Linked DNA regions of Rattus norvegicus. The protein of the gene in region 3 interacts with the protein of the main gene of each other region in a pairwise test. Links are inferred from orthologs where the notes say so. Each region holds a gene or a part of one and is shown on either strand. Other genes may lie near its edges.

Evidence for each region.
Region 1: the proteins of Rel (region 3) and Cep19 interact in binary tests that used the Homo sapiens proteins (3 or more experiments, as listed by UniProt). The two-hybrid records come from large-scale screens. The link is inferred for Rattus norvegicus from reciprocal best matches to the Homo sapiens genes REL and CEP19.
Region 2: the proteins of Rel (region 3) and Efhc1 interact in binary tests that used the Homo sapiens proteins (3 or more experiments, as listed by UniProt). The two-hybrid records come from large-scale screens. The link is inferred for Rattus norvegicus from reciprocal best matches to the Homo sapiens genes REL and EFHC1.

The regions. Positions count from the first base shown.
Region 1 is NC_086029.1:82,186,593-82,194,496, forward strand, and holds the start of Cep19 (centrosomal protein of 19 kDa), read right to left. Parts: upstream 5,441-7,904; 5' UTR 5,163-5,440; exon of another isoform or gene 5,149-5,162; intron 1,357-5,148; 5' UTR 1,279-1,356; intron 448-1,278; 5' UTR 420-447; coding exon 254-419; intron 1-253. Other genes in the region: Pigx (phosphatidylinositol-glycan biosynthesis class X protein precursor), read left to right, coding at 5,691-5,784, 7,617-7,680. UniProt on the Homo sapiens protein: Required for ciliation. Recruits the RABL2B GTPase to the ciliary base to initiate ciliation.
Region 2 is NC_086027.1:30,869,798-30,877,702, forward strand, and holds the start of Efhc1 (EF-hand domain-containing protein 1), read left to right. Parts: upstream 1-2,465; 5' UTR 2,466-2,511; coding exon 2,512-2,574; exon of another isoform or gene 2,575-2,738; intron 2,739-7,138; coding exon 7,139-7,360; intron 7,361-7,905. UniProt on the Homo sapiens protein: Microtubule inner protein (MIP) part of the dynein-decorated doublet microtubules (DMTs) in cilia axoneme, which is required for motile cilia beating.
Region 3 is NC_086032.1:101,916,517-101,924,608, forward strand, and holds the start of Rel (proto-oncogene c-Rel), read right to left. Parts: upstream 5,423-8,092; 5' UTR 5,155-5,422; coding exon 5,145-5,154; intron 1-5,144. UniProt on the Homo sapiens protein: Proto-oncogene that may play a role in differentiation and lymphopoiesis.

The DNA.
Region 1 (7,904 bases), on a different chromosome or scaffold from region 3:
GAAATACTCAAGTTAATAAAAAAAAAAAAAAAAAAAAGAATATTTAAGACAGGAGGTAAGGGCTGAAGAGCTGGTTCAGTGGTTAGGGGTGCTTGCAGGGTTCCCAACTTCAGCAACGATTAGGCTTGCAACTCTAGCTGCAGGGAATCTGATGCCCTCTTCTGGTCTCTGTAGACACCAACTCACGTGGACACAGACACATGAATAAAATAAGCTGACAGCTAGGCAGGAAGCGAGATAAAACGAGGCGTACCTGAGAACTTCGAAAAGTTTCGGACAGGCATGATGCGCTGGCGGCTCTTTCCTTCAGCTTCATTCTCATAAATCAAGATCATGGCCGGAGGCTGGAACCTAACTCCACACTTCTTGGCAATGTATTTCATCGTCTCGTGTAACTCAGGGTAAACTGGAGATCTCATACAGATAGGACAGCTGTGCAACAATTTCCTAAGAGAGGTCAACCACATCGAGCTAGGTGTTGAATAAATCCTTCCCCATCTCCTCGGTGGATCTGGCTGTGGACTAGCCCCGTGATTGTATGCTCACAAAGTTCCAGACTTTGAGGGATACCCTGAAAGTTTAGTCTGGTCCAGGCTAGCCTCAGCTCGTCGGATCTCTGAGTAGGTAATGCCATTCTGTCTGGACCCCTTAGTGTGCTGCACTCGTACCAGAGATTACACACAAACCTCCCAGGGGCCCAAGAACTGACCTGCTGGCCTTCGGAATCACTTTGATGTTTCAGTTAAAGGACTTCTGAGTCACCCTCTATGTATACGTTCTTTTAAACTTTTTCCTTTTTCGAGACACTGTCTCGTGTAGCCCAGATTGGCTTTGAATTTGTTATGAAGTGGAGGATTACCATGAATTTCTGATCCTCCTGTCTCTGCTTCCCAGTGTTAGAATCACAGCATGTGCTATTAAACTTGGTTTATGGGCTGCTCAAGACGGAACCCAGGGATTTATGCAGAGTAGGCAAGCATTCTTTTAGCTATGCTACGTCCCCAGCACTTTCCGCTTTATAAACATTTTGTACTGAGAAGTCCACTAGACCAGATGTAATTGCCTTGTGCTTTCCAAATTCATCCAATTCATTCTTTCTTTCCTTTTCTTTCTTTTTTTTTTTCAAGATAGGGTTTCTCTGCCTATTCCTGGAACTCTGCAGACTAGGTTGGCCTGAACTCAGAGATCTGCCTGCCTCTGCTTCCTGAGTACTGGGATTAAAGGTGTGCACCACCACTGCCTACCCCCACCATTCTTTTATTCATCATTTTTACTTACCATGTATCCTCCCTGTTATTCTATTTGCTCTAGGAAGGCAGGAAGTGTGTCCATTTTCATTAAGCTCTTAGTACATGTCTGGAACATAATAAAGGTAATACTTGTTCAGTGCTGTGTATTAATACAAGCAAAGTTACTATATATTATCCTGGGGCATTGGGGCAGGAGTCAAATGCTGGTACACATTGTTATATAATATGAAGTACTGTTACAGGAATTGTTAGTTTGTGTTGAGGCTTCTCTAAGACCATGTAGGCCAACATTTTCACAGGTCCTTCTCTTAAACCTAGCAGCCTGGGGTGGAACTGTCAGCCCTTTACTCTTAATAGCCAGACTCTGGTTCCTTCCTTCCTTCCTTCTTTCTTTCTTTCCTTCCTTCCTTCCTTCCTTCCTTCCTTCCTTCCTTCCTTCCTGTTTCTCTGAGGATACTACAGAAGCATAGCTGAAGACAGTCATCAGGAGCACTCCACCAGTCTGCACAGGTCTCAGAAAGCCCGGGCTGAGCGGAAGCCTCAATGAGCATTAGGCAGAGGGGCACTCATCATGTTGGCTCCGCGGCAGGTCTGTGATGCATGAAGGGATGTGTTGTGATTGCTGCAAATATTCTGGCCTCTGTCCACCTGGCAGCTCACTTCTGAAGTCACCTGGATACACCCTCATTGTGCTGCTCCCAGCGTTACATGCTATAACATTAGGCTCATTTGAAAGGCTCTGCGAGTGGCCTTTTCCCTCCTGCCTTTGACTGTTAGTATTAGCAGACCAGACTGAGCTATCGGCACAAGGAAGACAAGGTTAGAACTGGCACACTGGTAGCAGCTTCCAACTAGTAACAGTTGAAGCCCCAGGAAGGCTTCCAGAGAGGAAGCAAATAACTGAAGTGGAAACACTGGAGTAGAGGCAGAGGAAGCTATGAGAACTAGGTGCTGAAGAGTTTCAGGAGGCTTCCTGGCCTTAAGCGGTAATACTAGTCATTGTAGGAATGAAGTGTCTGTTGTTATTAAAATCTTGTTGTTGTTAAATATCGGCCTGTACCCATCCAGATAGAGCACACCAAACCAATACGGTTCCACAAGGAGAGATTTATGAAGAATGAGACTAGGGGAAGGGGCAAGAGAAAGAAAAGAAAAGAGAAGGAAGGCAAAGGAAGTCTGCTTTTTATTTGGAATGTGATGTAACTATTCCCAGGTCGAGGTGGGAATTGAGCCAAAAGGTCTTCTGGGAATGTATGGCTGTTGCCATAGCAACAGTGACCAACCGTTGCAGCTGTTGGAGGTAAAGGCAATTCCTGATACCAACAGTGTCTCAACAGTCAAGGCCCCCCTCCAGGATCTGTAAGTCCAGCAGATGACTGCTGCTCTCACTCACAGCCGCTGGGCGCTGAGCATTACAGTGGCTGGCAAATGCTTGCCAAATGAATGCCAACAGCATCCAACCTGAGCACCCAGAGCCATGCGTCACTAGCTTCTAAATCAGGAGCCCTAAGTCCCGACCTCTCAGTGTTTGGAATTGCAATCATCTAGTCTGCTAGTCCAGGCCTTGGACACTCAAGGGCCTGGGAACTTCTCCTACTGATTTCTATCCAGTTAGAGCAACATGACCCCAGCCAGCTGACAGGTGACAACCGAAATATCAATCACAGTTAAAATGGCGGATCTGAACAGGCATAGTGTCTGAGTTCTGTAATCCCAGAACGCAGAAGGCCAAAACAGCAGGACTGCCCTGAGTTCCAGGACAGCTGTTTGAGAACTCTGTTTGTTCCCTTACGTCTCAAGAAAAAAAAGGGGGTAGGGGTGGTGTGTAGATAATCAGCCTCTCCATATGCAAAACAGTAATGTGTATGTGGCCTTTACTACAGCTCATTTGTCTGACTATGGTACTTTTCCAGGTATAAGAAACGCAGATATTTTCAGATTAATACTTTCTGCTCTCTCTTTCCTTCTCTACCCTCAGTGGCAAAGTAGTACACTCAACTTTAAGAATGACTTAGATTCTTACACTTGCATAGTGGCTATGGTTTGCAAATGTTGAAACTGGATTGATGTCATACAGGTGAAGGCAGGTACAAGATAGAACGAGGCCTGTCATTGGACGAGAAGGAAGGATGGGCGGGAGAAAAGTTTTAGAGAGAGGAGGAGACTGGAGGAGGCAGGAGAAGCAGCAGAGAGAACATGGAGGCTGATGTTAAGATTCCTCTCTGCACATTTACAGGTTGTTATGAATAATCTTTTTTTTTTTAAAAAGATTTATTTATTTATTTCATGTATGTGAGTACACTGTAGCTGTCTTCAGGCACACCAGAAGAGGGCATCAGATCTCCATTACAGACGGTTGTGAGCCACCATGTGGTTGCTGGGAATTGAACTCAGGACCTCTGGAAGAGCAGTCAGTGCTCTTAACCTGTGAGCCATCTCTCTAGCCCCCTGTTATGAATATTCTTAAGGGATGGATGTGTACAGGGCTTTTTGTATGTCTAGGTGAGCAAATTATATATTATCAATTGTATCGGAGGTTATTGTGTTGTGTGTTCTTTCATGTTTTAAGTTCAAGAGTATATGTGGTGACTGGAGACGTGTATTTCTGGCATGGTGGCAACCTGCCTTGGGAACTAGATGGGTAGAGAGACTGTTGTCAGGCTCAGAGAGAAGCCATCAGCAGTGTGATATGGGATTGAGCAAAGCGGGTGAGAGGAAGATATCTACAAGATATCTTGGGGCACTAAGGTGCTGGACCTAGTGTGGGATAAATTAAGGCATTTTTAATAATTTTACAGCAACAGAGGTAAGGTAGCATAAGGTAATAATATCTTTATAAACTTAGTTCTGGTAGGAGGACAAGTCTAGGTGCACTGTTTAAGAAACTAACATTATGGGGTTGGGGATTTAGCTCAGTGGTAGAGCAAGGCCCTGGGTTCTGTCCCCAGCTCCGAAAAAAAAAAAAGAAACTAACATTATATTAGTTCGTTATAGAAAAATAGGGGAAAATGGGAAAGAGAAAATGAATATTCATCTAGCTTCTTTTTTTCTAGCTATATATATGTGTACATACATATATGCATAAATATAAAAACTACGGTTTAGTTTTATATCACACATATGGTTTCCTTATTAAAATGAAAATTTTACGGTTGCTAGGTAGACTTATCATATAGGGTCATCATCTGTATTTTCACCCCTAGTGATAGATATGAGATTTTTACTCAGGTTAGTCATAATAAAGAGCTCCTTTTCATATTGCTGTGGTTTGCCTTTGATCTGAGTCAATGACCACTCACTATTCCCAGATCACCTCACTAAAGTGTGATGTTAGTAAACTTTCTAGAACCTTCTAGACACTCTCTGGTCTACAAACACAAGCAAATGGCCACATTTGTGAATAGAGTCGATTATAATGTTAAGGTCTTGACTATGGAGTTTTCTTTTTAATTTATTGTTGTTGTTGGTATTTCAAGACAGGATTTCTCTGTGTAGCTCTGGCTGTCCTGTCATGGTCTCACTCTATAGACCAGGCTGGCCTCAAACGCGGAGATCTGACTGCCTCTGCTTCTCCAGTGCTAAGATTACCCGGCTTTTTGTTTGTTTGTTTCGTCCATATTTCTTAATAGCCTGTTTGTAGTGTTATATTACACTATCTTCCTACTTTTGAGAACTCCGAGCCTTCTGATCTGTAGTATAGCACTCTCTAAGCCTGCTAACACATTCCGCAGTCGGGAGGAATGACATCATATTTAACAAATGTACTTTTATCTAATATACTTTTTCTACCAGGGATCAAGTACTGTGCTCCCTAGAGCACCTAAGGGGATACAGAGTTTCCGATTCATGCGCTTACCAATGCAAGGAGACCCTTCCTACCCTCCGCGGCCCTTCTTACCCTTGAAGACGTACAGGACGTGAAAATCTGAACAGCAGTGAGGGGATGGTTTCCATCCTATCGCCTTGCACAGAGGAGCACTTAGATCGACTTTGAGGCGAGGTGGAGCCTGACCCTGCAGGAAGCGGCGACAGCCATAGCCTACAGGAGTAACCATGGGGTGAATTCAGCGGCAGGGGGCCCGGCCCGCACGCATCCGGTTGAGGACAGGAAGCGGGGCTGAGCGCGGCGAATGCGGTCCTAAAGCAGCTCGTCGGGTCCAGGGCCCGCCAGGGCGCCCCAAAGATCGTTCTCTAGGCAACAGCGGGGCGCGCGAACTGCGCTTGCGCAGCCTCTCGCCCCGCCCCGGCTGAGATGACGAGGGGCGGGGCTAGGGGCCGGCCTCTCAGGAACCTGGAGTTACAGGGGGTCCTAGGGTGGGAGCGCAAGGAGCGTTCTGTCCGGGTCACCGTGGAAGGTGGGGGTACGCTCTGCGTGCTCAGGTTCCTCCCGTGACCGCAGCTTGCTCCGCGCGCCCCTCTCGGGCGTCGGGCTCCGGCGTCCTGGCTGCCAGCGCCCTTGCCTGGCTGCTCCTCTGGGCAGCTGGGCTGGTCGGCAGGCTCGCCGCAGACATCAGCGACGCCCGCTTCAGCGATGGTAAAGGTCAGGGGGCTGAGGTGGGGAGCATTCGCGGTGCCTGGGGTACCAGAGTCCAGAGGAGGTTAGCAACGAAGGCTGCGTGCGCCCTTTCCTGCTTGATCTTTGCTGGGTGTTCCATCCCGGGCTTCAGAGCCTGGCTTTGTCTTCCCGAGGCGGGACTGGCCACGCTGTGACTAAAGTGCTAATAAACAAGAACAGCCAGCCACGAAGCACCTTGAGATGTTTATGGTTCCCCTTAAGATGCTTTGTGCTAGCTGAGAAGCAACGAACCCTCGGCAACCAGCGAAGTGTGAGAACGCCCAGACAGCATGTATGGGAGAAGGGGTGAGGTGGTGTGTTATGTGACACACTTCCTAGAGAAACACGCACGCACGCACTACTCACTCCAGAAAGGTAACCTTTGTACCAGTGTCCGGTCTGGTAAACCAATTAATTTTTTTTTTTTGGTTCTTTTTTTCGGAGCTGGGGACCGAACCCAGGGCCTTGCGCTTCCTAGGTAAGCGCTCTACCCAATTAATTTTTTTATTGGCTTTACTAGTAGGAATATGGGTGAGGGGTTTCTTACTAGGAACAAGGATAACTCAAAAGAAGTTTCATCGCTCATCCCCAAATGGGTGGCTCCTGAAAACTGCAACCCTGGAGCTCACTAAGCAACTTCCAGGCAGATTTCAGCGCCAGCACGATTTTCCCCCCATCTCTTTTCTCTCTGCAGTTTGCCCCCAGCAACTGTTGACTCCCTGTTGGTAGGACCCTCAAGCTTCTCCCATCTGTTTATCTCCTGGCTTCACGTTACTGAGTAACAGGTTTATCAGTGATTCACACTGTGTTTTAATGTTCTTCCCACACATTTCTAGCCAGTGTTTTATAGCAAGGTATCTGGCTACTGAATCTTTAGGGTTTTTTTTGTTTGCTTCTTAATTTGTGATATCTGAGAAAGGATCTCTCTTGGAGCTTGTATGTAGACCAAGCTGAGTGCTGGCATCAAAGGTGTGTGCCATCTTGCCTGTCTTGAATTTTTAGTCACTGAGTAATTGTTTTAGTGGCCAAAAGAAGCATGGAATCAGTTTATGAAGATTTCTGTTTATTCCAAGTGTGTAAGTGAACTGTTTGAATCTTACGTGCCCCTGATTCTCTTACCTTGCCTTTCTTTTCTTTTTTTTTTTTCTGGAGCTGGGGACCGAACCTGGGGCCTTGTGCTTGCTAGGCAAGCGCTCTACCGCTGAGCTAAATCCCCAACCCCCTTGCCTTTCTTTTCAAACTCTCCTAACATCTTCACAGAGTGTCTGTGTACAATTTTCCAAGACTTGTAGATATGGACATATAAGAATACAGAAGCTGCGGGGTTGGGGATTTAGCTCAGTGGTAGAGCGCTTGCCTAGGAAGCGCAAGGCCCTGGGTTCGGTCCCCAGCTCCGGAAAAAAAAAGAATACAGAAGCTGCTGTATTATGTATTAAACATGATTTGGTGAGCCGGGGTGATGTCTCAAGGTCACATGATCAAAGTCCTTTGTGTATGGTAGCAGCTTTCTGACTGTGTCTACTTGTGTTGAATACCTCAGACATCCACAGAGAGGACTGGTCTTACTCAAAGACAGCTGTTAAATGATGGAAAACAGAGAAGCCAATTCCAAAGGTGTTCTCAACCTCGATGATGTACTACTGGGAGTAGATTTCTGTGTAGCTGAAATGTGTACATTTAAAGTTTTTACCTTGGGCTGTTGGTGGTTAGGCTTTTCTAGCAAGTAAAGCTTACTGTAGTAGTTATTTTCTAACTACTTAAGATTTCTTTCCTTGAATGTATTTTCATTTTTAACGTCTTGATTTTTATAGGTGTAAGGGCCACTTGTTCTGAAATTATTTTGAGGCAAGAATTTTTGAAAGATGGTTTCCACAGGTAGGTTGCCCACTGGTTTCTACTTATATTAAGTACTTTCTCATCATTCACAGCAATAAATTAATAGTTGAAATATGGATAAATTGAAAATTTGTTTCTAGGGGTTGGGGATTTAGCTCAGTGGTAGAGCGCTTGCCTAGCAAGCTCAAGGCCCTGGGATTGGTCCCCAGCTCCGGAAAAAAAAAGAAAGGAAAAAAAAAAAGAAAATTTGTTTCTTTTTTTTT
Region 2 (7,905 bases), on a different chromosome or scaffold from region 3:
ATGCAGGCCTTTAATCCCAGGGTTAGGAGGCAGAGGCAGACAAATCTCTGGGCTTCACAGAGAATTCCAGGAGGTCAGCAAGGAGAACACAATGAAATGCTGTCTCAAAAGAAGAAAAGGTGAAAGAGGAGGAAAAGGAGAAGGAAGAGGAAGAGGAGGAGGAGGAGGACGAAGAAGAAGAGGAAAAGAAAGATGAAGAGGAGGAAAAGGAGGAAGAGGAAGAGAAAGAGGAGGAAGAGGAGGAAGAGGCAGACAGGAATGAACAATAGTAGAAAGGAAGAAGTACTAGAAAACAATTTTGTGAGTAGGTACAGCAGTCTCCAGTAACGACTTTAGAGGTCACTTACTGTATTCTTTTCCTGACCCCAAAGCTTCATGCCAGCGAGTGAAACCCACAGGAAGATTTGCTGTTATAAGCAGCCACAAGGGCAAAGCAGACAGTTCTATTTTTGGTTGTCAACCTGACTCTACGTGGAATTCGCTAAAACCCAAGAGGCTGGGGATACTTGTGAGGGATTTTCCTTACTTAAATCATTTCCAGTGGGAAGACATGCCCTTGTGAGGTGGGAAGATCCACCTTTACTCTGGGCCACATGCTGGCGGCCTATCTAAAGGACCTGGAAGAAGGAAGCCGGCTCTCTGTCTGCTTGCTCTCAGTAGCAAGTCCCTTCCTTCACTGGCATTAGAGCCTAGTTCTTTGGAATTCTGGCATATACTGAAGGCATCCAGGCTTGTGGACTGAGCAACTGCTGAATTCTTGGACCCTCTGTTGGTACACAGCCATTGTTGGACTAGCTGGACAACAGCCTGTAAGCCAAAATCCAGGGTGTCCCTGTGTGTGTGTGTGTGTGTGTGTGTGTGTGTGTGTGTGTGTTGATAGGTACAGTAAACCCTTTATGTCTGACTTTAAATAAAATATCTCAGCAAAGCCTTTGCTATGTTTGGGTGCTCTGGAGAATTTGTACTTGGTCCTACGTGAGAACTTGCAGCTGCACTAATCTGGGTCTTAAGGTACTCCTGGCAAACCTGGAGTCCTTACTTACAATTATGGCTAGCCATGGTCAAAAGGGTTGTCTGCACTCCTGAGCAGCAAGGGCAAGATACCTTTGGTAGCTCGAACCTTCCCAGCCCCAATCAACCTTGCATATTTTTTGAATAAAGTAACTGGAGTGAGTTAGCTGGGTGTCAGCCTAGTCCAAAAAGGCCGAACCCCTCTGCTCCTTCGGGAAATAAAGGCTTAGCCTCTTGGCGAGCTTCTCTCTCTACTTCAGCACCAACATCAATCAATACGTGTTTATTCATTCTATCAGTTCTGTTCTTCCAGGGAGCCCTGACTAATACAGCTGCCATTTGAACTGGTGACCCACGACAACAAGCTATGTCTTCTCTCTCGGGCTTACTACTCTATCATTTCTCTAAACTCCTAGGTCAGAAAACATAAAGACCAGAATCCTGGGAAATTTGAGACATATGGGAACCAAATCTCTGGGCATCGTTTTATTTTTAACTTCTCCATGCTGATGGATTCTTGGTTTCTTCCTTTACCTTTCTTTAAAGACCTTTCAGGGTCTTTTTTTTTTTTGAAAAGGAAATTAGGTTGTCCATAAAGTTTGATACTTGTTAGTACACATGACACTGACAACATTTCACTCACCCAAGTTGCTTCTTTCTCTGAGTCGGTCTCTCTTCCTCTGAGGTTCTTAGGTTTCACTGATGTTATAGGTATGAAGTAGGGACTAAGGTAGGCACTTCTCAGTCAACAGTTACCCAGTAAAGTTCTGCGCACTTACAGGAATCTACGGTGGAATAAACAGCTGAGAGAAGACCAGGAAATTGGGGGATTGGGGAGATGGGGGCTTCCAAATCAGTTCACTGATCAAGTCTGAGCAACGGAAATGTAGTCAATTATAATCTAATCCACAGCTCCAGCTCCAAGAAGTATGAGTTTGAAGTACTTAGCGCAACCATGGTACGTTGTGTGTGGACTAGGATAGCAGCTTTTTCCCCAGAGTTGAGAAAGGATGCCTGAGCTCTTGGGAGAACTGGGAGCGAGAGGGAACTTCTTTGTAACTCTTCTAAAAGGACGTGGTCCAATCCCAGACCTCACTGGGCGAGCCAAGGCCTAAGAACAGCCTTACAGATTGCTGCTCCTAGATTGGATCCTCTGGGACCCAGGAAGTGGGGACTGAGGAGAAAGGAAAGGGATGGGAAAGAAAGGGGCGGGACAGCCTCTGTCACACCCATCAGCCACGTCCAGTTAAGGCTATTAGAGGCAGTAGTGCTGTGCGCAGACGCAGACCTGGCCGCCTCCTCCTCCTCCCCTCCCCATCCCCAACCCCCACCTCCCCCCCACCCCCACCCCCACCACCCACCCCGCCTCCGCCGCCTTTCCCCTCCCTCCACTAGTGTGTTTGGCGTTACCTTGGAGTCAGCAGAGGCCCGCGAGTGCTGTTTGTTGCCAGGGCAACCCGAGCGGCAGAAGGCAACCGTGGCGGCAACTGCGGGGCAGCGATGGTGACCAACCCGGTGCACGGCCTGCCCTTACTCCCGGGCTCGTCCTTTACGGACTCCACGGTGAGGGCCAGCCCGAAGGGTTCTCCGCTTGGCGCACGTCTGTTCTCCTTCATCCTGCAGGCTCCACCGTCCGCACGCATCCCAGCCTCTGCCGAATTTGCTCGGCCTCTTGGTAGTCCACTCACCCTCCTGGGCTCACAGAGGCCCTGTTATTTTCCTGCCCTATCTACCTGCCTTCTGGCCCGATTACCCTAGGCCATCTCCAGGCCTCTCCGCAGCTGCACTCTAACCTTACTTAGTGCCTTCATCCTCTCCTACCTTCTCTCCCCAGCAACCTCATTCTTGATCTGTCTGGCCTCTTCTGAATCCTCAAGATCACTGCCCTTCAGCCCCCTTTCCTCAATGTGTACGCACCCTTCCCATGCACTTCTTTCCTGACGGGTCTCCCCCCATTCTCTGACCCTCTAAGTTAAGGGTCACTTTTCTCTCCAGCTTCAGCCTTCTCTAGAATTGAAACACCCACCCACCCACCACCCACCCGTGCCAACCCCTCAACTTGTTTTTTCTTGTAGTTTTCCTCTGTAAAACATTCCCATCTTCCTCCTTTCTTTGTATTTCTCCCACCTCATTTAACCACATAGACCACTTGGTGTTTTTCTATAGCCTGTGTTTTAATACATGTATATATGATATAAAGATATATGTATGTATATACATACATGATTCCTTTTCAGATTGTGTATGTGTGTGTGTGTGTGTGTGTGTGTGTGTGTGTGTGTGTGTGTGTGTGTATAGGGGGGGTCTTTTATCTTATCTGCAGCCTAGACTGGCCTTGAACTTGAAAACCACCTGTCTCGGCCTCCAGAATGCTTGGAATTAAAAACATGCCAACACACAGGGCTCCTATTCAGATTGTATTTTACTTCATTGCCCTGGCTGTATTTTTTTATTCATCGTCTAGATGAAATTAAATAAAAACAAGTCCAGAGTGGTCATGCACATCCGTGATCTCAGCTTTCAGGAAGCCGAGGCATAAAGATGGCTACTTTGAGTCTAGCCTGGGCTATATAGCTAGTCCCTGTCTCCAAAGAATAGCAGATCCAAAACAGACAGAACAAGAGCTACATGAAAAGGAAGCATAAGTCAGGCTGGGAAGGGGCTCAGAGGATAAAGTACTTGTTCCTCTCATGAGAGGAGTAGAGTTCGCTAGAACCCACAAGAACCCAAGCAAGGACCATAGCTAGAACGGCCAGTTAGCTAGATTGGCCCTTATCTGATGCGGCCTACCCATGTCAACTTCGGTCTTTCATGTGTATCCCCACATACATGCAAACAGACACATACACTCACACACCTACACACACACATGCTTGGAACAAACCACCCCAACAACAACAACAACAACAACACCTCATATCAAAGCCAGTGACAACAGTAATTTGGGTTCTTGGTTTCCTCTTAACATAGGTTAACTATTTATTTATCCATTTCTTTTGAGACCGGGTCTGAAGCAGCCCCGGTTGGCTTCCCACTTACTGTATTGTCTGGGCTGATCTGGAACTGATCCTCTGGGCTCCTGAGTTTGGAAATACAGGCAGGTCCCCAAAGACAGCTCTTTGTGGGTGCCAGGCAAACACGCTTCCAACTGAGCTACACTCCCAACCCCAACTCTCAAATGCATTCTGCATTTTTAAAAAAATTATCAGAGTGCTAGAAATATTCTCAAGAGTCAACATTGAGATTGGTGGAGATGACCATAGGCACGCCAGTAGTCATTTACATTCATAGAGTTTAATGATTCAGACTCTTAGCTTTTTCTTCACATTTCTAAAGGAAAATTATCTCATCTCCTTGTTTTCTAGGGGACACAGTTTCAATTTCAGTTGCAAGTGTGGCAAGAGACTGGGTTCCGACTCTCTTCTAGTCTTGTATTAAGATGTAGCAGGGTCATTTTTGTTTTAAAGATGCAAACTCGTTAAGCATGATCCCTGCCCGTTGTTTGTTTGCTTGAGGCAGGGTCTCTCTCTTTTTGAACCAGACTAGCCTGGAGTTCACTGTGTAACCTAACCTGTCCTCAGACTCACAGTGATCTCCAGCCGCCATTTCTCAAGTTCTGGATTCAAAGAAGTCTAGCCTGCGGTGCCTAGCCAGCGCCATAGACTCTCCGTTTCAGTGAACTTTTTAAATGTTACGTGATTTTTAAAATTGTAGACATTGTCCTGTGCTGTAGAGAATCCGAGTAAGCATTTGCTATGGGTGAGTGTGGGTTGTGTGTGCACGTGTGCACAGGCATGTGCACCCCACATCAAAGCAGAACAACAACAGTAGTTTGGGTTCTTGGTGGAGAACCCCACGAGGAAAGGGTGGAGTCGATTTGTGAGATTGTAGAAGTGTGGAGGATAGAAATGCCAGACTTTATTTATATGGCAGGATGAAGTGTCTTTGGACACACTTCCTATGAAGTATACCGAGTGACTGTCAGCTAATTACTCTTCCTTGAAATTTGAAGAGCTTGCTAACCTTGTTGTCATCAGGATAGGAATGTTGTAACTTCGAAGAAAATGTGTCCAGAAGGTGAACCCCGATGAATAAGAAGAGTGGGAAGCCCGAGAATGCCTTGTCTTGGGTGCCCCATGATACAGTTGACTGATGCTAGAGACATCTTTTAACCTCAGAAAACGAACTGACCTTACTGATGTTGGTTTCATTTCATATTGCGTGGGATGGTTTGGTGGGGGGTGGGGGTGGTGAGGGGCTGCCGTAGAACCGTGTGTAGAGTTCATAGGACAACTTCCGGGAGTTGATCTTTTTCCTTCTACCATGTGGGTTCTAAGGATCAAAATCAGGTGGTCAGACTTGGTGCTAAGTAACCTTTATCTACCAAGCCACCCCCTTCCTCAGCCCCACTACCCAGTTTCGGTGCTGGGAATTGAACCTAGGTCTTTGACTGTTCTAAGTGCACCATCACCAAGGAGTACTCCCAGCCTCTAATGATACTGCCCCTGACTTTAGAGGTAGCAGAGAGGAACTGGAAGCTATCGTATTGCCCAACTCAGTACATGTTATTCCTTGTCCTGTGTTTGTGCACGGGGGACAGTTCTGCCAACTGACTTGTAACCCAGAACTCGTGACACTGAAAGAAAGGTCTGTGGTCCATACTGTTTTAGCAGAATAGTCCATAATACTCAACCTTTTATGGTAGTAGATGAGAGGGATCATAGTCTGCTTTCCAAGGAAATTGGGAGCTAGTCAAATTAATCTTTCTATTCTTTTTTTTAATATTTATTTAATGTATATGAGTACACTGTAGCTTGTCATCAGACACACCAGAAGAAGACATCAGATCCCATTACAGATGGTTGTGAACCACCATGTGGTTGCTGGGATTTGAACTCAGGACCTCTGGAAGAGCAGTCAGTGCTCTTAACCGCTGAGCCATCTCTCCAGCCCCTCTATTCTTAATAAAACAAAGTTTGATTATTTGTTAGCCATGTGTACAAATATGTAAACTATATTATGTGCATACAATTAGAAAGCAACCCCATAAAGAACATAAAAACCCCCACTGAATTAATATAACTTCAACTTTGTTTTCTTTATCTAATTTTTTATTAATTTCCAATGACAAACAGATGTGTATTGATGGCAGAACAAGAACATAATCTAGCAACACCTAATTCAGGATGTTCACCCACCCCAGTTTGTATGCTTACAATTATAGTGTATTTCTATAATTTTATATGATGCTTTCTCTCTCTCTCTCTTTTTTTTGTCTTAATAAATTGTAGAGACTTTACCAGGCTGCTGCATGGCATTTAAAACCATTTTAATTCCAGCATAGTAATTGTGTTGTTTAAATTGTTTCCAACATTTAATATCCTAGACGCACAGATCTTTGTCACTATCATGATCAGCTTCAAGCCTAGTGTTGTTTCCCATAACTCTGGAATGTACTTTAGAAATCAGTGCACAAGAACAGGGTTGCCGGGTGTTTCCACATATGCCAGCAAGCTGCTTTTTAAAGACGTCTGTGAATGAACGTGTCAGTGTCAATGTGATAAGAAGAGTTGTTGCTACAGGCGAACCTCAGGATAGCAGATCTTCTAAGGTCACAGTCCGTGACCTCCAGGGAAGAAGAAAAACAAAATTAGTGAAAATAAAAACTAGAATATAGGTGAAGTGGTACGGTAGAGATGAGTCGGACGTCACAGAGCAGGGATGTTTTGTTTTAACCTTAGATGGTTTCTCTTTCCCTCCTTGCTCCTGACCGGAGCATTTCAGTTTAAAATACAGAGCCTTTTCATGCAGTGAAACACGTTGATGTACGTTTCGTGGTGCCAAAAGGCCAACATTTGGAGCTTCAGAGATGGCTCAGCGTTTAAGAGCAAGAACGACTCTTGCAGAGGACCCAAGTTCCATTCCCAGCACCCACCATGGGTGGCCCACAGCTACCTGGACCTCTTCATCCAGGAGATCCAAGAGCATCTTCACTCATAGGCACACATCCACATAATTTTAAAAATGTACTTTTAAAGCACAAATTTAGGTTATGGTAGTTTAGGAAGTTGGTTGTTTTACTTAAAGATTTACCCAAGGTTATTAATGGCATACTTCTTTCCTTCAGAAAACAGCATTCCACAGAAGCCAGACACTCGGCTACAGGAATGGCTATGCATTTGTCCGACGTCCAACCATGGGCATAGGTGGAGACCGGCTCCCCTACAACCAACTGTCTCCGGCTGAGCTGGATGAGTTGGCCAATAAGGCACCCATCTTGACTTATGGCCCACTCAAGCAGGCCGCACCAGCAGAGTTTGTTCCTGCGCATGTGGCTTTTGACAAAAAGGTATCATCTGGGATTTCCAGGGCACCCCTTGACTTCAGAACTGAGGTTTGCCCCTTGTTGCTAGTAAACCCCAGGATTTCCTGAGAACTCTTCGAGAAAATTGTTCTTTAGTCACAGACATCTGAACTGAGCCTTGCAGGAGGCTGTCCCTGGAATATTTTCCAAACACAGTTAAAAGTTGCCTGAATTCTAGATCCCACATTCAGGATGTCTCAAGTTCATTGCTTTATTTCCCACCTACTCTATAACAGAGAGGCATCAATCAATCAATCAATCAATCAATCAATCTCTCTCAATAATTATTTATTTATATGAGTACACTGTAGCTATCTTCAGACACACTGGTAGACCAGAAGAGATCATAAGATCCCATTACAGATGCTTGTGAGCCACCATGTGGTTGCTGGGAATTGAACTCAGGACCTCTGGAAGAGCAGTCAGTGCTCTTACCCGCTGAGCCATCTCTCCAGCCCTGAGCCCTTAATCTCTATGGACTGAAACATAGCATGAGAACATCTCTTGTCAGTTTTTAAAGTTTTCATTCA
Region 3 (8,092 bases):
ATCTAACAGCTTGAGAGAGGGAAAATGTAACAAGAGTGGAAGGCCATTTTAGAAAAGGGGAAGTAACTGTCCATCCCATCAACCACCAATGGAAGTGGAGCGATTCCACTCTTAGAAAGAGAACCCAGAGTCCAAGTGCATTTGGTGATAGGCGTTTCGTTGTACACGTGAAGAGAAATCAGTGCTTTAATCAGGGAAATCACAAGCTCAAGTTAGCTTTCTAGAGTAAGAATTCTGAGGTAGTAGATAGATTACAAAAGAAAAAAAAAGGATCAGTTCAAACATTACTTACGTACACACGCACACATTTTTCTCCTATAAATATACATACATACATACATACATACATACATACATACATACATAAGAGGTTAACAACAATAAAATAGAACAGTTATAACGAACTACTAAAACAAGCTATTTAAAACTTTATGAAATTTTCCTTTTAATATTTTTGAACCACGGTTGATTACAAATAAATGAACTGAAGAAAATCAAACATTCATTAAGTGGAGAGTATTGTCACACGAGCAAAAATGTGGGCATGTCTGAAATATGGCTGGTATAAGAAAAAAAGTGTTTCATAAAACGAAGCTGACATAGTTTGCTATCTAAACATCAAAGGGAAATTAATCACGGGTGGCAAGGGGCACAGCTCAGTCAGAAATGTGCTTGGCTTTCAATATAAGATCCCGAGTTCAAGCCTCAGCATCCATAAAAACATCCAGGCATGGTAGCATAGCCTACCCCTGTAGGCCCAGTGCTGGAGGGGAGACAGGGGGAACCTTGGAGTTCAGAGTGTGTGTGTGTGTGTGTGTGTGTGTCTGAGAGAGAGACAGACAGACAGACAGAGATCTGAGTTACTCAATAATGTATTACTGCTACCTTTAACTTTACTCATTTTGATTTAGACCTCTTGCATCTGAATCTATCACTCATTTGCTTATTCAAAGGACAGGAAGCAGGCCAAAGGATCTGGGTTCAATCTCAGTACCAACCAGAAACAAAACAAAACAGAAGAACTCAAATAAACAACAAATACCAAAAAAAGAAAGAGAAAACTATTTTAAACCAACCAAATCCATACTAAGTACTGAAATATAAGGCAAATGAATATTTTACAACTTGTGTATCACTGTATGTATAAAATTACCTTTTAGTTTTAAATATCTCATAGCCTATGCATTCTTGTAGGACTTACTTAAGAGAACGCACCTTTCTTTTCAAGTACGTTAAATTCAACATGATTTTTTTTTCAGTGGCATCTTAAAGAACTTATGTGGTTGAACTAAAAGGTCAAATAAATCCCAGCCCATTACTTAAGAGGTATTCTGATGGGAAATTGATATGTAATGACATCATTGCTGGTAGCTGGTTACCTTTTTTGAAGGAGAAGTATAAAAAACATTGTAGGGTCATTCAAAGCAAGTTACACATTTCTTTAAACCAGAGTGTATCTATTTATTTATTTATTTTTTTCGGAGCTGGGGACCGAACCCAGGGCCTTTGCGCTCTACCACTGAGCTACATCCCTAACCCCTCAGAGTGTATTTATAAAACTATAAAATACAAAGAACTTAAGAGTTAAGTACTTTTTAAAAAATAACTTAAAGTAGTAAGAATTACCTAAATATTGTCATGTAATATCATTCATTTATATTTATTTTTCTTGTAGAAATCCTTCATTGAGCCAAGCAGTGGTTGGGCACATCTTTAGTCCCAGTCCTGGGTTGGCAGAGGCAGGTGGATCTCTGATTTTTGAGGCCAGCCTGGACTACAGAGAGTTCCAGGAGAGCCAGGGCTACACAGAGAAACCCTGTCTTGAAAAGCGAAAAAAAAAAAAAAAAGCAAAAGTATAACAACAATAAAAATGAACTCTCCATTGATAACAAGCCTCATGCAAAAACACATTTCAGAATTTATAGTCCATATTCTCCAGTTGGAAGTAACTTTTCTATCCTGTAGACCAACAATCATGGTACTTTTGTATAACACAATTATTCCAAAAAAGATCAGTTTAGGGAAAATTAACTATTGTGTTCTTTCTTTCCTTTTTTTTTTTTTTTTTAAAAGACGGTGTCTTATCTCTCTAGGGCTAACCTCTAACTTGTTTTGTAGCCTAGGCTGGTCTTGAACTTGTAAGCCTCCAGCCCCCACTTCCCTAGTGTTGAAATTACAGGCTCCACTATCACAGACTTGGTCCAGTGCTGTGTCAGATCAGGACTTCTTAAGGCTGGGCAGCTACTCTACGAACTGAGCTACATCCTTCTCCTTTTGAGACAGGATCTCATCATCAACACGATCGTGCATAGAACACAGACGGGAGAAAACTGGAATGAAATGCAATTGAGTCCCTTAGGTAGTACTTAAGAGATCACATATATCCCGCGTTCTTAATCGTGATCGTGCCCCATCATTTTCTCCATTTATTCTCTTTACCTCACTAATTATTATAACACCTTTAGCTCTTTCCCATGTGCTTCGCTTCTGAAATATCTGTATTTGTGAGCTGTCTTACTTAAAAAAAAAAAAAAAAAAAAAAGGAAGTCATTTGTTTCAGCCAGCCACTCCCAGCCCCCGGCTCCATTATTAAAGGGTAAGCGGTCCCACAGCTATGTTCACTTATGGGGGGGGGGAGGGTTACTGCAATTCACACACAAAAAGTTAGTGAGTAGTAAGGTCTACAAAGATAATTTCTTCCTTCCTGTTATGTGACACAGCAGAATCATATTCAAGGAAAAGTGTGACTAAATACAAACTTTCTACATTTAAAAGTGCATCTCACCGAAGACGGTGGCAATCATTAGCAACCTGTAGTACTCGCCTCACAAAGTAAGGGGCTACCTCCCTCCATTTTGTTCTTTTTAGGAAATAATGAGTAGTTTTAAACATGGACACAAAGTGACTTAAATAGAATAGAACTGCGTGGATAATGACTTCCTAAATATGCAGACTTTGATCGGGAACACTTTTCTGCACTTTGCCTGCTATGATTAATCTCATCAAAAGGCCAGAATCAAAGGACAGTATTGTTTAAAAGGCAATGAAAGTCAGCTTAAGGGCTAGCTAGGAGGTCTTAATTTGCTAACTTACCTGAACAATAATTAGAATCATCATATAAAACCCTGTCTACTCAGGACGTTTATAGAATTCTGCTCATGAGAGTATGATCTATGACACTTTGCCTTTATAAGGCACCACCTATTAAATTACACACACCTATTTACATATGACATCCGGAGAAGGAATGAACGAATGGACGTAAATACCTGGCGATCGACAGAAACACTTCTCAAGGTTTCAGTACTACATCGAAAACAAGAGTCTAAATTACATAATGATAAAATAAGCAGTTTGATGCTTTTAAATGACTTCAAATGGAATGGGAACTTTAAATGTATTTCATAAGTTTTCTCTTATATGGTCTTTATAACTGATACGGCTTCTAGGCTCCTTTAAACTATATTTTCACCTAGTAATTTCAAATAACCGAACTACAATTTAAATTATAGTCTAAATTACAATTTAAAATAGTCTCATTTAGTGCAACCCTTGACAAAAGATCAAAAAGCAAGAAGATAATGACACTACAAGTTTCAGATTTGTTTCTATGTTTGTTGGTTTTTTTTTTCTTTTTTTTTTCTTTTTCTGACAGTACTGAGAACTGAACCCAGGGCTTCACAGAAGCTGGGCAAGTCCAACCCAACTTCTAAATCTTTAAAACTTGCTATTTCTTTTAAAAGTTCCCCCTTTTAACTTTTGGAATCATTTCTATAACAGCACATAATATGTGTCCTTAGGCAAACTGCATTCGTATTAATTTTTAAAATCATAGCTGTCTTACAGTCCTTTAATAAATGATTTTTCTGTTGAAAAATTTCAAGCATTACAGTCGTGCACTCTATTAATAAAATCCTGTTAAGTAGACAAGGGCAGAGCTGTTTTAACAAAGCTTGCCACTCTATACATTTCATACAAAAATCTCTTTCGGATTACCAATGAATTAAACATTTAAAGCCTTTCCGTGCTTCTTAATCTGAACACGAGTTAAATTTACGAATTTACTAGAGTATCTGAAAGTCTGGGTTCATTTAAATGGGTAAAGAGAAAGTTGAAATATTTTAAACTACACTTGTTTTCTCATGAAAACCACAGACAAACTGAAATCAAGTGTCATGTGAAACACCCCAGTTTCCTTTACGGCCTACAGCAGGAGTTATGGCATTGCTCTGCTCAACTCTTAAAGCGGTCACTAAGCTTTCTACTTCCTCTTCTCTGCCAGACGTCGGCTGCCTTCTACTGTGGGTCATTGGGAAGATAAGGGTCAGAGTCCTGCTACAGACTGAAGGTGTCATTTTAGCTCCCACGATGGAAAGCACCCCACCACCACCTCAGCTGCTTGAAGCACCTGCTTTACAAATTGCAGGGCTGTCATACTAGACGCCCCTGTCCTGTAAACTGTTTCTTATAAATGTGTCCTCCTCAAAGCAGGCGATCCAATACTTACTAGTGGCATATAAACACTGACATCAAATGATGACATTTTCATCCCTACCAGTACCTAGTGAAAAAAATCCTCTCGCCCTCTTGCTGAATGTGGGCGCAGGTTTGGGGTTAGGGGTTGAGTGGATCGAGGTCTCTACACTATAAACTAGACAAGCATCTCCTTTAGTTCCTGGGAGCGGAGGTAATGCTTTCGCTTGGAACGAATTAAAACGCCACTGAGGACTTTTACAGCCACACCACATTCTGTACCAAGAGCCATCAGTAACTAGCAAGATTGGACTTAAAAAAGAAAGCTCGTCTGAGGTCCGGAGGTTCCTCTTTTTAGTTTAAAAATGTAAAACCGGGTCTCCATACCCACTCAGTCTTTAAACTCGAGAATTCTCTGCTCGCCTTTACTGAGATTACGCCCTGTGATCCTAAAAGCACGCGGCTGGGAATTTCGAAGGTTCTGGCTATTACCAGGAGATCAGATTACACTGCGCCGCTTTGATTTCACACGCAAACCCTGGAGCAGGTAACTTTTTAAACGGCTGACAATTTGCCAGATGAAAAGACTTGAAAGGCAGACCGTCCCAACCCCAAACCGAGCCCCCGACAGCTCCTTCCCTTGACCCGCAGGTGTTCGCCCCGGTACTCACTCGAGGCCATGGCTCCGCTTCGCGCGCCGCTCGCCGCAGCTTCCAGCGTCGGGCCAGAGGCTGCAAGCCAGCCAGCCAGTCAGTGAGTGAGTGAGTCAGCCAGCCAGCTAGCCCGTCAGTCAGCCAACTAGCCAGCCAGCCAGGGAGGAGGCCGAGCAGCCTCTGCAGCCGCGACCCCAGTCCTCCGACCACCCCCGGGCCTCCTCTTCTTTCCCGGCCCCTCTGGGTTTGCGGCTCACACCTTCCCACCCCCGAATCTTCGCGCTCCGGTCACTAGTGTCCTGGAGTCGCCCTGCCAGGATGCCGCGGCAGGGGCAGGGGGCGGAGCGGACCGCCCGGCGGAACGGGGGGGGATTTCCCGCTGCCTACGTCACCCGCGCCACCGCCTACCCGGGACGAGGGCGGAGCCTCGCGGCGGGCGCGCTTCCCGGCTCCGGCTAGTGCGCTCCGCTCCCGGCAGAGCCACGGCGGCCTGCGCGCTCGCGCGGGGAGCTCCCGGGGGCGCGCGGCGACGGCTCCGCGCGTGAGAAGCCGCTGGCCTCTGAGAAATCCCCCTCCTCCGGAGTCCTTAAAACCGAGGGGCGTGTCCGTGACGTTACGCTGGCCGAGTGGCCGGAGGCGGGCCGGGCGGTGCAGCCGGCTCGCTCCTTGGCCGCCAGAGGCCCGCCCGGGGTTTTCGACCGGTGGTTCCCCCTATTCCCTATTTCGCACATGCAAATCTCCGCCCCCGCGCCGGAGGGCGTGGCTTTGGAGGGGAAGTGCGGAAGCGCGGGCGCCCGCGTTCGGCTGTAAGGCACAGATTTGCATACGGGGACCCCCGCAGCCTTATTTTCCCTCTATATCTACATTACGTCTTTACCTAGCAGAGGTTTTCAGCTGCGCTGCGAGGCCGGTGCCCCATCCTGTATAAATGAACACGACGTCCAGAGATTGACCGAGATACCCACAGCCTGTGGCCTGGACCGAACTTTTAGTGCTTTGACAGGTCTGGCGGAATCTTATTCGCCTTCCCTTGCTAATAGGCACCTGTTCTCTTGGTCTATTAGCATTTCATTGCATACACGAGTATTGGAGTTGATTGGGGTTTGGAGGAGCAGAGGAGCTTTGTCGGTACTTTAGAGTTCTAGAAAGGAAACGCACGATTTAAGTTTAAGATTATCCAGTCCAGTTTAGCGCACTCCCAGCACGCGGGAGGCCGAGGCAGGTGGACTGTCTCAACAACAAAAATAACTCAGGCTTGTCTGGCTCCGCCTCTTGCGTTCTCTAGTCACTTACTAAAATAAGTAATGGACGGGAAATAGACTTGTATGGCCAACAAGGTGTCTTAGGGAGAAACCACTTGCCACCAAGCCTGACAGTCTGAGTTTGATCAGGGAAGGACCGAATCAACTTCCAAAAGTTGTCCTCTTAACTCTGCATGTGCCCAAACGCGTGCGCTTGAAAGGGCACCAAAGTGTGCGTGTGGGGGGAGGGGCGTTGGATATTTAAAATATATACTATTCTCTCATACCAAAAAGAAAAAATCCTGTTGTAGAACTCCCCCAAAGTGAAAGAAACTATTAAAATCTGCTAATTTCAAAGTGTCTTCACAAAGAGTATAAATAGAGTTGTCTTTTAGGTTGAACACAACCGTAGACAAGCCTCAAAGATTTAAATATTAAAAAAAAAAAAAGCAGTTGGCAGAGTTAATTATGTTCAGCACTCCAGAGGCCAAAACCGCAGGATCATAACTTTTAAGCTAGGTTGAGCCACAAAACACCACACACACACACACACACACACACACACACACACTTCAGCCTTTGACACAACCATATCCATATGACACAGTTTCTACTTACTATCTTTATTCAAAGAAGTAACTAGGAAGATACATCTTGAAGCAAAGGGAGGTTTAAATTCTCATGGAGATTTTTAGATCTTGTGCTGGGGGAAGGGTTGTCACTCTACACCTGAAAGGCTGCCTGGGTTTTATACAGACTGGTGTGGAAGTTTTAGTAGTGTGTGGCAATGTCTGTTATCCCAGCATTTGGGAGGTAGAGGTAGGAATAGCAGAGTTTCAAGATCACACTCCGATATCTAATGAGTTTACAAAGCCAGCCAGAGCTATGGGGAGACTGTCTCAAACACAAGCGTACATGAATGTTTACATTACAGTATTTCTATAAAAATAAGGTGGTGGGGGTAGTAGAAATCATTTGGGCTCTACAGAAGGACACTGTGGAAGCCATGTTTCAGCTGAGTCAGTGGTTGCTCCTGGAAACTTCTATGCAATTGATGCACCAGTTCATTCGGAGATTTTATCTTGGCTGGTATGTTACACTGTAACATATGCTTCCGAGGGGCAAGGGCAGGGCATTTAAGCTGTTGCCACAATGAAAATTTTAGAACCATGATGTTGGACTAGTGTTTGTGCAGAAGATGAGGTGAAAGGAAGGCCGGATGTTTGATGGCAGAGTCAGCTGCTAAAATTGAAAAGCAGCTGAGGATTTTTTTATTTTAATGAACTAGAGTTTGACAAAACGGAAGTCGTTAAAGTGGTGGCACAGCTCTTTCCAGTAACCCCAAGACTAGGCAGGCTGATACCAGAGATTCCAAAGTTCAGGGCTAGCCCAGGCTATATGGAGAGACTGCCTATGAAATAAAGAATGGAAGTCATTCGTGAGTGGAGAGCTGTGCCTTAAAGAGGATGAGTATAAAAGCCGAAATGAAGCTGGTTAAGGAGAGACTGACGGATGAGATAAACTTTTGGAAGAGTGTTGAAGAAAACAGAAATGGAGTATTAGCTAATGCATGGAGTGGGATTATAGTATGCTCAGGTCTATCAGTGACAACCTCGGGCTTAATAAGTTAGCCAAAGTCCCCTGTGAGTTGACTGGCTCCCTTCCAGGAGTGACCCAGGCATCTTCAGCTGGGCCTGCTCTCACTAAGTCTATGATGTGGATTAT